Linked DNA regions of Xenopus tropicalis. The protein of the gene in region 2 purifies or fractionates together with the protein of the main gene of each other region. This does not show direct contact. Links are inferred from orthologs where the notes say so. Each region holds a gene or a part of one and is shown on either strand. Other genes may lie near its edges.

The links.
Region 1: the proteins of clns1a (region 2) and gar1 purify together in Homo sapiens (affinity purification with mass spectrometry; 3 studies listed by BioGRID and IntAct, counting the BioPlex papers as one, with this or other methods). This does not show direct contact. The link is inferred for Xenopus tropicalis from reciprocal best matches to the Homo sapiens genes CLNS1A and GAR1.

Annotation. Positions count from the first base shown.
Region 1 is NC_030677.2:68,654,073-68,661,430, forward strand, and holds the start of gar1 (H/ACA ribonucleoprotein complex subunit 1), read right to left. Parts: upstream 4,954-7,358; 5' UTR 4,893-4,953; intron 2,364-4,892; 5' UTR 2,363-2,363; coding exon 2,170-2,362; intron 1,945-2,169; coding exon 1,790-1,944; intron 1,101-1,789; coding exon 1,041-1,100; intron 289-1,040; coding exon 147-288; intron 1-146. UniProt on the Homo sapiens protein: Required for ribosome biogenesis and telomere maintenance. Part of the H/ACA small nucleolar ribonucleoprotein (H/ACA snoRNP) complex, which catalyzes pseudouridylation of rRNA.
Region 2 is NC_030678.2:168,854,626-168,862,209, reverse strand, and holds the start of clns1a (methylosome subunit pICln), read left to right. Parts: upstream 1-3,671; 5' UTR 3,672-3,706; coding exon 3,707-3,825; intron 3,826-7,584. UniProt on the Homo sapiens protein: Involved in both the assembly of spliceosomal snRNPs and the methylation of Sm proteins.

The DNA of each region.
Region 1 (7,358 bases), on a different chromosome or scaffold from region 2:
TAAGAAAACAAGCTACTGCTAGCTCACTATTGGCTTTATAACAGAAGGGATTTTAAACAAAAATCACACTTTTAATTTTTTTGATGTTCCTCTTTAGATTACTTTGGAAGAAAACAAAGTAGCAGCACCAAAATAAGCAAACTAACCTCCACCTCCTCTGCCACCACCTCTGCCACGTCCTCCACCTCTCCCTCCACCTCGTCCACCTCCTCTGGGAGGACCTTTCTCACCAGGAGGCCGAGGTAGAAACCTTTGCAGTGGAAGCAACTTTGCTGGGTCAATGTAAAACTGTTGAAGAAGAATACAGTTATATTATAAACAGCAAATGATACATAATCATGCAATGAGAGCCAAAGACAAGCATGTAGTATTTCTTATACAGACAGTATCAAAAGAAAAAATGATGTAATTGCTAAGCAATAAATAGAGTTTATACCAAAGCAGGGCTGCCATCAGGGGGGGGTACTCCCCTAAGACATAAAAGTATGATACATGGGTTATAAACGGTGTGGGGCTTAGGGTGGCTCATGGCCAAAATTTAGAACACTCATTTAAGTCATTTTAAATATGTATATATTTGTTTCTAATGATATGTGCCACTGGCTTATCACAAAATGAAATGCTGTCATTTTAGGAAGTACAGTTAATTCTTCTTCTGGCTTGTAAAAGCCATGATACAAACACACAAACCAATGACATACATAAATGATAGGGATAGGTCCAAAGAATGGACAAGTGTATCTTTTACTCCAATACTTCTTCCTGTTATTCTAAGAACCACCATTTTGTTTTGCTCATTCCTGTGAGTGATTCTATAAACAAGCATGCACAGCATCACTAAATGGTGAAGATATAAAACAAAAATATTGATATGTTAACACCAAATTAATTAAAATCCTTTGATAGGTCACTTAGAATACGAATTTATTGGTCACATTTTCCTTTAGTTCCACTTTACTTGGCTACAGCGTTTCATGCGTGTAAGGGAGGCATACTATAAAGACAAACATTAAATAGTTCAACCACAGAGAAATGCTTACCTTCTGTAATTTCTTGAATGAAGATGCTTTCATGTTTTCAGAGAGTTTAATAGAAAAATACTTTGAAAATATTAAGGAAGCACTCATAAAAGTTACTGGAGACAATATAAGAATGTAAGAACCAGTAATTCTTACACAAAAAAATAACATCAAAAATATTTCAGAAGCATATGGAGCCCAATCTACATATTGTGCAAATACACGTGTAGATTTAAAGGAGAAGGAAAGGTAAAAACTAAGTAAGCCTTATTAGAAAGGTCATGTAAATACAGCCATAAGCACTCAGCATAAGTCCTCTTTCAAAAGAAACAGGATTTGTTGTTTCTTTGTTTTCCTGTGCCATAGTCTGCACAGCTCCCTCCTGCTCCCCCGTCCCTCAAGAATGCTAAGAACTCCCTCCCCCCCCTTAGGAATGTGTGATCTGAGCCAATCAGCAGGAAGCTTCCTCATAGTCTTATTAACTGAGCATGTACATAGGTCTTGGTCTCGGTGCAGGAGCGAGGCACTATGGGACCTTTCTTTACAGAGTTCAGCGGGGTTTTTTTCCTATGAGGCTTCTGATTATCTGAACCAAAGAAATATGGGGAGACTTAAGGGCACTATTGAGAGAACTGATGGTATGCCTGATTAACTATTTATTAGCCTTTCCTTCTCCTTTAATGAGGTATCAGCTAAAATTAAAAAAAAAAAAAAAAAAGTTCCAATGTTAAGTGATGTTGACCGTGGAAATAATTTGCTGTAAAGGATACAAAGTCTCTTAGCTGCCCAAATATCTCATCCACTTTTCCAATCTGTTCTTTATTCTCAAGGTATATGGGAGCATTGAAATAAGGCACTCTGTTTTCCTGTGTAATGCATTTACACACCACATCATCTTCACATGGATGCATAAATTCCCCAACCTCTGCAAGACAAAAAGAAATACATGCATATGAGTGGAAGCAGCATAGGGGACACTACAGACATTTGCTTTCAGCTAGAAACTGCTTTGGAGAAGAGATATATACTTGAAGAATTACAAAAGTGACTGAAGGATGTAGAAAAAAAATGATTATGATTGCAAAACTTTGCAGGAAATCAGAGCAGTCGAAAGACTTGGAAAAAAAAATATACATATAAATATATTTACCAACAACACTCTCAGGAGGACCTTGGTCATATCCTCCTCTGTTGAAGCCTCCACGTCCGCCTCCTCTTCCAAACCCACCTCTTCCACCACCCTGTCCATAACCTCCACGGCCACCTCCTCTTCCTCCAAAACCACCACCTCCTCTTCCTCCTCCTCCACCTCTGTTAAAGCCTCCTCTCCCTCGGAATGACATCCTTATTGAAAGAATAGTTGGAGCAGTGATTTTTAAGTCATCAATAAAAGTCAAATGTAATGAAACAATAAACATATGTCAGTTTTAAGCAGTCAGTAGGGTGGCTTTACAATTACCCATACCAATAACCTATAGGACACTATTAAAATTATTATGCAAATACATGTACAGGTGCTACTTGGGATATTTGAGACTTGGGGTTTTTTTGGATAAGCAGCCTGTTAAATAAAAAAAGGACTGTATTGTGCTCATCATATATTTATGCGAGTCTCGTTACCATCAATGAGAAGTGATGAACTGTTTGTTAAATTGGACACTATTGGAAATGGCATTCCCACATAATGCTGATTACTGATATTAGGTTTCTGGATAATGCATCTCATACCTATATGTCTCATGGAACTTTTTCAGCTTCAAATTGATAAGCAAAATGGGGTATTTATAAATGTTAAATAGAGATTGTGTCACTGAACTACATAAAGACAAAACTCTTCCAAACAATAAGTAACCCGAAGATCTCCATATGTGTTTGGACTACAACTCCTAGTTTTCTACCAACAGATGTCAAAATGCATGCATTACCATGCTTGACAAAGAATACTATCTTCGAGGTAGCATTTTGCTATGCAGGGGCAAGCTCATTTAATGTACTAATCCTACAGTGGTGCAGTACAGAGTTAGAATCTATATTTGCTGCATTGTGGGGGGAATATATAGTGCAAAGTTAAAAGGAAAACTATACCCCCCAGAATGAATACCTAACCAACAGATAGTTTATAATATGCTAAGTAGGCTATTAAAGAATCTTATCAGTAAATATTGCCCTTTCCCTTGATTCACCATTTAGTGATGGGCTGTGTGCTCCCTCTGAGATCACATGACCAGAAATAATGCAACTGTAACAAGAAGTAGTGTGGAAGCAAAAGACAGAACTGTCCACTGAATACATGTGTGCCTTGGCTTGTTTGTGTGCACTGTGAATCTTATGATCCCAGGAGGCAGCCCTTAATTCTTGAAATGGCAATTTTCTATTTAGGAGTACCCAATAGCACATACTACTAAAAAAGTATATTTTTATGAAAACGGTTTATTCAGATGAAGCAGGGTTTTACATATGAGCTTGTTTATGCAATATGTTTTTATAGAGACCTAATTGCTTGGGGGTATAGTTTTCCATTAGGTGAAGTCACCTAAACAGTTAAAAATCATACAGTTTAGCCATGCATTCAAGCAACCAAATAATGATTTCTTTAACGGGTAAAAGATTGTTGAATCTCAGGTAGTCTGGGCACACAGTTAAGTAGTCATGTCAAACCTCTGTGATCAGTGTAACACTATTTAAATGGAAATCGAACAGAATAATAAAAAATTTTAGTTACATTATGGGGCACATTCATCAATGTACGATTGAGTCTGAATACTAAAAATTCATATTTTTTCAAAATTTTAGAACGGTGCGTATTTTCTGCGATTTTCTTGTTAATTTGTGCAACTTTTTCATTCTTTGTGACAATTTGTACGACAAAATCATATTTGTCGCAACGAGTACGAAAGTTTTGGAATTTATTAAAGCTTTGTTATCGTAGCTTTCCTTTGGCCAGGTCGGAGCTGCAGAGTGCCATTGAGCCCTATGGGAGACTTTCCTTGGGCCGGGTTGGAGCTGCAGAGTGCCATTGAGCCCTATGGGAGACTTTCCTTGGGCCGGGTTGGAGCTGCAGAGTGCCATTGAGTCCTATGGGAGACTTTCCTTGGGCCGGGTTGGAGCTGCAGAGTGCCATTGAGTCCTATGGGAGACTTTCCTTGGGCCAGGTTGGAGCTGCAGAGTGCCATTGAGCCCTATGGGAGACTTTCCTTGGGCCAGGTTGGAGCTGCAGAGTGCCATTGAGCCCTATGGGAGACTTTCCTTGGGCCAGGTCGGAGCTGCAGAGTGCCATTGAGTCCTATGGGAGGCTTCCAAAATCATGCACAGAAGTTTAACAGTTTTTGCACTGTCACTTTGATAAATGTGCCCATATTTGTCTGCCATAAACATTTGCTTACATGAAGATGAACTGAACTGCAACTTTAAACAACCCCCTGACACACTTTGATAGTAAGCATAGTATTAGTTGAAAATCATTTCATGTGCCCATCACTTATGTATATAAGCAATGACATAACTCCATGATCCCCATACTAAATCCAGGCAATGGATGACAAAATATTATCTGACCAAATAGCACTGGAGGGCCTGGATGTATAATAATGTTAAAATCAATGTTACATGAATTAGTGACCTGTAATGATCAGGGGTGAAGCACAGAGTGGAAGAATATCGTCACAGGGAAGTATAACCTCCAGCCCTCCATGCAGGCTCAACATCTGTTTGATCCGAGCTAGAGAACAGTATTTTAAAACCCAGGATAGCAGTCGTACACCCTTACTTTTCATCTCAACGATCATTGGACTGGACAAATAAAATGAAATGCATGTTTTAAAATGACCATGACAGATCGTATCTACCCTCAATTAAGCAATGAGTTACATTTACCTTTAGTTGCGTTTGGCTTCCTGCATGCGGCACTCTGAAACTACCCAGAGTACACTCCGGCACACGTTCCCACCACTTCCGACTCAACAACACGTGGACTGCGTACATCGTACTTGGGCGCACAGCATTCACGTCATCAAACGGCGCGGCTATTAAAGGAAACGCGCTTACGTGTTTGTGTCCATTTACTGAACTGAATGAATGGAGTCAATGAGAGCTTCTGTGATTTGGTTAGGGAAAGGCAAAGCTGGACGCACCGCAGAAAATAACGCATATATTTAGCTTATTACCGAGCAGCCAGTAATTATGGTACCGCTTGGTATTGTAATTGAACTCAGTTGCTGAACTAAAATACCCCATTAAAAATGGATTTTACATCGAAAAGCAGTTGAATTAATCCCATTGGGTGTATGTAAAAAATCTTTTGGGGATGGGGCTAGCAAGTAGATAAAATAATCATGAGTAATAATTCTCCAATTATTTTTGGCAGCAAGGCACAAATCTAGAGAGTGGGAGGGTAACACACTTAAAAGAAATATGGGAAAGCTGAACTGGTTATGGATTTAACTAGCCCAATGGGAGAAAAGAAATGCTATACAGATACAGATATAATTCTGTGTGTGTTGGGGGGTGGAGGTATAGTATAACTATTTCTAAATATACAAAATTACTCGCACATAGAACAAAAGTACACAAGGTTTGGACATTGGCCCTTAATCACAGGACTTGACCAATTAATGACAATTACATTTACAAATAACTTTTAAAGCACTGAAAATCTTTAATAAATTCATTTTGGAAGGTTGCCTAGAATTATGTTTTTTTTGTATTGGGCAAAAATGTAGTTTTGGGATTGACATGTCTTTTAAAGATTCGGTTTGGCCAGGACCATGGATTCGACTGAATCCTGATGAAAAAGGTAGAATCTTGGCCAAATCCCTAACTGAATCCTGGATTCATGCATCCCTAATTTGCATTAGAGTATCAAAAAGCAGAGGATAAGTCCAGGCAATGAGAACAGGGTAGTGTCCTTTGGCCTTGGCATCTAGAGATCATTTGCAACTCTACATAAGGATGTTTCAGTGGAGGGTGCAGCTGTTTTAAAGATAGAAAAGTACCAGAAAATTGTTTGCGGGTAGAATTGACTTTGCTTTTAAAATAGCAAAGTTCCAGGGGCTATGTTTAGACGTGAGTGATTTATTTGGTAAAGGATGAAGAAGTGAGTAGAATATGGTAACCAAGCACCATGGATTGTTTTTATTATTTATAAGTGTATTATAGTATTTTTGCTTGGCCTGGGATAGGGCAGCATTGAGGCAGTCCATAAGAAATGTATAGCGGAGGGAGTCTACTGTACACTGTGCCTGCAATGAAATGTGGAAGGGGGGGGGGGCAGCACCCTGTGTATGTAAGGAAATTCTGGGGGACCCACACACTTTTCCTCTGCTGAGATGTTGGGGGCCATACTCTGTGCCTGTTGTGAAATGCTGGGGGACCCACACACTATGCCTCTGCTGAGATGTTGGGGGCCACATGCTGTGCCTGTCGTTATTGCTGGGGGAGCCACACACTGTGCCTATTGAGAAATGCCTGGGGGGCAGGGCATATACCACACACTGTGCCTATTGAGAAATGCCTGGGGGGCAGGGCATATATTATGCCTGTCGAAAAAATGCAAATGAAATGTTGGGAAGGGCAACACACTGTGCCTGTGGTAAAATGCTGGGAAGGCCAAACAATCTGCCTGTTGTCAAATTCTTTGGGGGCCACATGCTGTGCCAGTTATGAAATGCTTTGGGGGTCTCACATTGTGCCTGTCAAAAGTAGTCCCCATTGGGCAATTATGATTTGGTTTGTTTTGAGTTTTAATACCTCAATAAATGTTCCATATGCATCTTTAATTGCTCAACGGGCATCAACTTTGCTAGTTTAAATACAATTTGTGCTTTACAATGTGTTTGCTTCTGAAGTTCTATTATGTTCTTATTTAGCTAGGTTTTATGGCATGCTCTGATTGTGATATGGTGGTACTCCTCTGTGATCACTAAAGTGAGTGCAAATATTTTAATTTACAAAAATTTAAATATAAGCTTCATATAATGAATATAATATGAACATATAATATGAACCGCGCTGCCATGTTTCTTGATCCAGTTTTCACAAGCCAACTACCCAGGGCCAGTGAGTTTTTATAAAAGGTTAAATTGGCGCCCTCTCCAGTGATTTAAGGTTTTGTTTTCCATTAAATACCTCCTATGTCATTTCCAAGAACTGATTTCCTGAGGGGACAATTTTTTATCTATTACATCCTATTGTAACACACTACAGTGGCCAGAGTCACAAAGGAGCCCTGGAAGTTTAGTTTCTGTGCTTGATTTTTCCCTAATGCTAAGGCAGTAACACACGGCGAGATTAGTCTCCCACGATAACTCTTCACTACCGCTGGTGGGAAGGCATATGCGTTGC
Region 2 (7,584 bases):
GATGCAGAAAGGGAAGAACAGTTTTGCAGCTGGATTTCAGCATATAAAAATGGGATTTATTCCTACTTTTTGAACGAACAGATTACAGGGATAGGGATATTAGGGGTTTCTGTGTTCTCTTTAACAAATTTTGGTTTCGGAAGCCAGAGTTCCCCTTAAAGGCTCGATGATAATAATAAACCTTAAGGGGCCACTATACCGTGGTCTTTTTCCTTTAGTATTCGTCTAATGGCAGTGTTAAAGGGCCAGTTACACAAGCAGTAAATATAATTTCTATGCATCTGTAAATGTATTTTTGTTTTACCGACATCTTTAAATAAAACATTTTTACTGTCTAATTTTCATAGGGGAGGACTTCATCTTATTAGCCCATTAAAGGGGCAGTAAATACCCTCTTATTCAGCATCAGTGCAATGAATAGGGTTGAGTTGAACATACGTTTTGCCTGGCTTATGAGCACCCACGTAGTAAAGCTATTAAACTTCCAATAATGTATCTTGCTAAGCAAGGAGGGGCTTAAAGGGCCCCAGAGTGCTGCCTCCACAGCTACTAAGCAGCAACTATTTGCCTTCTTCTGACTCTTTGCAGCTCTCAAATGGGGGTCACTGACCCCGGCAGCCAAAACACTTGCTCTGTGAGGCTACAGTTTTATTGTTATTTTTCATTTATATAATTTTTCCATTCACGCCCTCTCCTATTCATATATCGGTCTTTTATTCAAACTGCGCTCTGGTTGTTAAGGTAATTTAGATCCTAGCAACCAGATAGCTGCTGAAATGCCAAGCTGGAGAACTGCTGCACAAAAACTGAAATCATTAAAAAAAACTACAAATAATAAAAAATGAAGACCAATTGCAAATTGTCCCAGATTATCTCGTTCTACATCACACTAATAGGTAACTCAAAGGTAATATATGGTGTTACCGGCACTTTGATGTATAACTATTTCTTCTTGCTGTGCTTTAATTATATATTAAACTTCAATATGAACTTTATAAGAAGCAACTTTCCCAATATAAACTTACTTACAAATATGTATGTTTTTAAGTTAGTCCCTCATTTTTACTGCGTCTCAACCAATCAGTTTCCAGAGATTTCTTGTAAAACAAGGCAACTCCCAGCAACCCTCAGCTGCCGCGTCCAATCCCTATGTCAGGCACTTGCTGTATTGTCCTTTAGACCAGGTCCAAAAGCAGACTTGAAGTTGGTCTATTTTGCTTTCTCATCCGAGGAGGGGAGTGCGTGGGGGAAAACGATCCATAGTAGCTGCGCTGTCCAACATGTAGTGGGTTGATTATTTCTCATACAGCATGATGGAGGGTCATATAGTGAAGCCTATGGAGTCTCTGGGCAGACTGGGGGGGGCGCACATCTGGCCCGCACCCCTCCAGTTGGACAGCCCGCATAATAAGTTTATGTGGGAAAGTTATACAGAAAATAATATAGGCTGTTAAATGAGGCTGTATATCCCCTTTAAAGGGGTTGTTCACCTTTAACATTTAGTATAATGTAGATAATGCTATTTTAAGATAATTTGCAATTGGTCTTTTTTTTTTAACTGCAGTTTTTTTAATTATTTAGCTTTTTGTTCAGCTGCTCTCCAGGTTGGAATTTTAGAAGCTATCTGGTTGGTAGGGTCCAATTTAACCTAACAACCAGGCAGTGGTTTGAAAGAGAGACAGGAATATGAGTAGAGGAGTGCTTAAATAGAAAGATAAGTAATAAAATGTAACAATAACATTGAAGCCTCATACAGCAATAGTTTTTTGGCTGCCGGGGTCAGTGACCCTCATTTTGAAACTGGAAAAGGTTTGAAAAGAAAGGTAAATTAGTCAAAAACTATAAAAAAAAAAAAATGTAGACCAATTGAAAAATTGTTAACCTGAAGGTGAACCACCCCCTTAAGAAAGTTTCTGGCATGTCCTACATATGTTTTCTTCAATAGCATATAGGCAATGGTATGTGTACGGCGGCTATAGAAAAAAAAATGGAATTGGCTGATTTACAACAGACTTTATGACAGCCAGCAACTGGACTTTTCACTTACAAAGGGTGGAGAAATCACCCATTTAATACCTTTAGTTATGTGATTGGAAACAGGAGGGGCTCGTTGTCCAAGTTAGTTTGTAGTTTGTTCTATCATCTCCCACTGATGTTGGAAATGAGTATCTATACACGGCCGCTATGTACCAGCAGCTGCATCTGTCTGACTTTGTGACACATTACTTTGGAACATTCCGGCATCCTTTATTTTATTCTAAGCACACAGCCTAAGTGAGTTGTAGTTGCACTACACCTCCCCTTCAACTCTTCTACATAGCTAAAGCCCATCCTTGTGCAACTGATGCTTAGGGTTGCCACCTTACCTGCTGAGGAACTTTGGGCAGAGAGGTAGGGCGGGATGTTGAAGGGGCGGGGCCGTGATGCAGCAATTGGCCAATTGCCATGTCAGTCTTCAAGAATCCTGGCCGGTCTTCCAAATTGGGAAAACGGGGCAGGTACAGGGTCGGACTTGGGGGTGCAGGGCTCCAGCCGGCCTCGTCCCCTAACCCCCCCCTCCCCAGGGGCCTTGTTCTCCCCCTGACGCCCTCCCCTGAGCGCACGTAAGTTTAGCTCATCAGGGGAGGAACGATTAAGCAGGGTCACTGGGATTTTTCCCACTGTCCCGGCAGCCCAGTCTGACCCTGAGCAGGTAGTTTTGACCCAGACAGCCCTACCGAAAACTTTGCCGTCTGGGTCTCTCTCCCCCTAGCTGGACAAAGGCCTTTCTAGCCAACATAGGGTTAAGGTGGCCATACATGGGCTGATTGTAGCTGCCGATATGGGTCCCTTATTAAGGTCCCCATACACTGGCCGATAGAAGCTGCCCATATGGGTCCCTTGGACTGACTCGGCAGCTTATCGGCCCGTGTAGGGGCAGAAACGAGGATTTTTTTTTTAAGCTACTTGCTACCCGATATCGCCCACCCGTAGGTGGGGATATCGGGTGAAGATCCGCTCGCTTGGCGACATTGCCAAGTGAGCGGATCTTACAGTGTATGGGGACCTTTAGACTGATTCCGCATCTTATCGGGCCGTGTAGGGGCGGCAACGATGGACCTGCCCGACATCTGGCCTGAAATTGCCCAGATATCGATCGGACAGGTTAACAGATTTAGTCGGATCGGGGGCCGCATTGGTTTGTTGATGCAGTCCCCGAACCGACTGCCCCATTACCCATATTACCCACCCGTAGGTGGTGATATCGTGAAAAGATCCGCTTGTTTGGCGACCTCGCCAAGCGAGCGGATCTTAACGTGTATGGGCACCTTTACTTTATATTAACCCTGTGCTCACACAGGCTGACAAATACAGCAACTAGACAGCTGGACATTACAGAGGTACAACACTCACACCGAATTATAAACCTGGCACAAGCCACCACTCTATTCCATTTTCAGGCCCACGGCAGTCGAGCACAGACTCAGTTATTTATTGATGGGGCAGAAAGCAGCACAAAGCTGTTTCCAACAACACTTTCCCCCTCCATCATGGCCGCTTGCTCCCGACAGCACACGGCCGCCCAGTTCTGGGGACGTCACTTCCTGTAGTTAAGTTACCTGACTGGGGGAGGGAGAGTGAGGCCGCGGTGCAGTGTGGGTCGGCTTGTTGGTGGGAGTAGCGGGCTGTACCACGTGGTTAGGTACTCTGCCTCGGTTTCGCGCCCATGAATCTCCTCAGCAGCTTCACGCCTCCCGGCGACGGAGTCCGACGGCTGCAGCCCGGCACTGAGGCAGTGGTGGGCGGCAAGGGGCTCGGCCCTGGGACCCTCTATATTGCAGAGAGGTAAATCTGTCAGTGTCATGGCTGCAGTGAGCCCTCAGGGTGCGGGGGTCGTGGTTCAGCTGTAGCTGCATAACTGGCTTTGAGTCAGACTAACTGCGTCTCAAGTTACATAGTGGCACCTTGAGTGGCTCACTAACCCAACACTGGGCAATTCGTTGCTAGGCAGAAGCCCCATGGCAACCAGTTACTGTTCAACTTTCATTATTCTGCCTGTGGCCCAACATATGGAATTGCTGGTTGCTAGGGGTTACGGCCCAGGTACCTCTCTGCCCATTGTTGGGGGATGCTGATCCATTTTGTTATAGTCTACAGTTTGGGCATTTCCCCCATTGTGCCAAGCTGTAAATTATATCATTATAAACGGTGCTGAGACTTGTATATTATAATTAAGTACCCCCTGTTGCCAAATATAAGGATATTAAAAGTCACCTTCGGCCTCGTGCTTTTATATGTTCATGTAACTACTCGGTGACTTATAATATCCCTATATGTTACAATAGGGGGCACTTTATTCACTATATGTTATAAGGAACTCCTCGGGGGCTTATAATATCCCTATATGTTACAATAGGGGGCACTTTATTCACTATATATTATAAGGAACTCCTCGGGGACTTATAATATCCCTATATGTTACAATAGGGGGCACTTTATTCACTATATGTTATAAGGAACTCCTCGGGGGCTTATAATATCCCTATATGTTACAATAGGGGGTACTTTATTCACTATATATTATAAGGAACTCCTCGGGGACTTATAATATCCCTATATGTTACAATAGGGGGCACTTTATTCACTATATATTATAAGGAACGCCTCGGGGGCTTATAATATCCCTATATGTTACAATAGGGGGTACTTTATTCACTATATATTATAAGGAACTCCTCGGGGGCTTATAATATCCCTATATGTTACAATAGGGGGCACTTTATTCACTATATATTATAAGGAACTCCTTCAGAGCTTATAATATCCCTATATGTTACAATAGGGGGCACTTTATTCACTGTATATTATAAGGAACTCCTCGGGACTTATAATATCCCTATATGTTACAATAGGGGGTACTTTATTCACTATATATTATAAGGAACTCCTTGGGGGCTTATAATATCCCTATATGTTACAATAGGGGTACTTTATTCACTATATATTATAAGGAACTCCTCGGGGACTTATAATATCCCTATATGTTACAATAGGGGTACTTTATTCACTATATATTATAAGGAACTCCTCAGGGGCTTATAATATCCCTATATGTTACAATAGGGGGCACTTTATTCACTATCTATTATAAGGAACTCCTTCAGAGCTTATAATATCCCTATATGTTACAATAGGGGTACTTTATTCACTATATATTATAAGGAACTCCTCGGGGGCTTATAATATCCCTATATGTTACAATAGGGGGCACTTTATTCACTATATATTATAAGGAACTCCTCGGGGACTTATAATATCCCTATATGTTACAATAGGGGGCACTTTATTCACTATATATTATAAGGAACTCCTCGGGGGCGTATAATATCCCTATATGTTACAATAGGGGGCACTTTATTCACTATATATTATAAGGAACTCCTTGGGGGCTTATAATATCCCTATATGTTACAATAGGGGTACTTTATTCACTATATATTATAAGGAACTCCTCGGGGGCTTATAATATCCCTATATGTTACAATAGGGGGCACTTTATTCACTATATATTATAAGGAACTCCTCGGGGACTTATAATATCCCTATATGTTACAATAGGGGGCACTTTATTCACTATATATTATAAGGAACTCCTCGGGGGCGTATAATATCCCTATATGTTACAATAGGGGGCACTTTATTCACTATATATTATAAGGAACTCCTCTGTGACTTATAATATCCCTATATGTTACAATAGGGGGCACTTTATTCACTATATATTATAAGGAACTCCTCGGGGACTTAAAATATCCCTATATGTTACAATAGGGGCTGCTTTATTCACTATATATTGAGTGATTGTGTAGCGTATTTGTTACCTGTATAACCTGCTGGCCATAGGCTAAAGCTGGCTATACACGGGCCGATTGTAGCTGCCGAGGTTGGTCCCTTAGACCTATTCGGCAGCTTATCGGTAGTGTAGGGTCCCCGAACCGACTGCACCTATTACCGGCGTTCTAACTCGATCGAATTAGCTTGAATTCCCCCGATATCCCCCACCCGTAGGTGAAGGAGAAGATCCGCTTGTTTGGTGACCTCGCCAAGCGAGCGGATCTTAACGTGTATGGGCACCTTAACACACATTCCTACACATATTGTGTATAGTACTGACTGTATTATATATATATATATATATATATATATATATATATATATATATATATATATATATATATGCACAGTAACCAGCGTATGGTATAGTCAGTACAGTGTTACCCTATATGTTGGGCTGGCATATTTTGCAGCGCTGAATGGAGATTATACATCATTCCTGCACCAGGGGAGTTTGTAGTCTATAGTCTCTGTAACATACACTAGGTCCAGTTTTAGCAGGAACCAGTTATTCTGCCTTTATGTTGGGGGGTGAACCGTAGCACTTGGGGGGTAACCCACACAGACATGTACAGGACATATATATTCTTTGTAGATGGTTCCCTTGCTGGAAGCAAACCTAAGGGTGAAGACACATGGAGCTGCTAGTAGCAGCTACTTGTCGTGGCTACTAAATGCCAGAAAATCCCCTGCCATAGACAATACTGAGAATTGCCTCAGCTAAAACACATATAGAGACAATTATCAGTAAATGATCAGCATTGTCTATTTCTGTAGCCACAACAAGTAGCTGCTACTAGTAGCTCTGTGTGTCTTCACCCTAAGGGTGAAGACACATGAAGCTACTAGTAGCAGCTACTTGTCATGGCTACTAAAACAGACAATGCTGATCATTTACTGATAATTGTCTTTACATGTGTTTTATCAGAGGCAATTCTCACTATTGTCTATGGCAGGGGATTTTTTGGAGTTTAGTAGCCTTGAAAAAGTAGCTGCTACTAAGTAGCTCTGTGTGTCTTCACCTTAAGGGCTCTGGCACACAGGGAGATTAGTCGCCCGCGACAAATTCTCTTGTTTAAAACCTCACCAAACGAGCCAGTCTTATAGAGCTGCCTTTAGGGCTCTGGCACACGGGGAGACTAATCTCCCCGAGTTGCCATCCCACCGGCGAAAATGTAAGTCGCCGGTGGGATGGCACATGCGGCGGCGCGATTTCGCCAAATCGCCGAAAATGCCTTTGTGAGGCAACTTCGCCGATTTGGCGAAATCGCCTGCGCAGCGTGTGCCATCCCACCGGCGACTTACATTTTCGCCGGTGGGATGGCAACTCGGGGAGATTAGTCTCCCCGTGTGCCAGAGCCCTAAAGGCGGCTCTATAAGATTGGCTCGTTTGGTGAGGTTTTAAATAAGAGAATTTTTCTCCTGATATGGTAACCTACAGTGGGCAATATTGGGCTAATTGGATCATTTGGTTACAATGACAGGGATAAGAGCCGTTGGAGTGAGGACCACATCAATGAGATGAACACAGTCCTTTATTGGATTGGTGGGGTGGGTGGGGGGCCACATACATGGGCAGATAAGCTGCCGGATTGGTCAAGACCACTGTGACCCTTATTATATGGCACAGATAGAGTTAACAGGATCACCCCCTACATTGCCAGTTACTTTAGTCTCTGATTGTCAGTCAGTGCAGGGGCTCATTTTTTT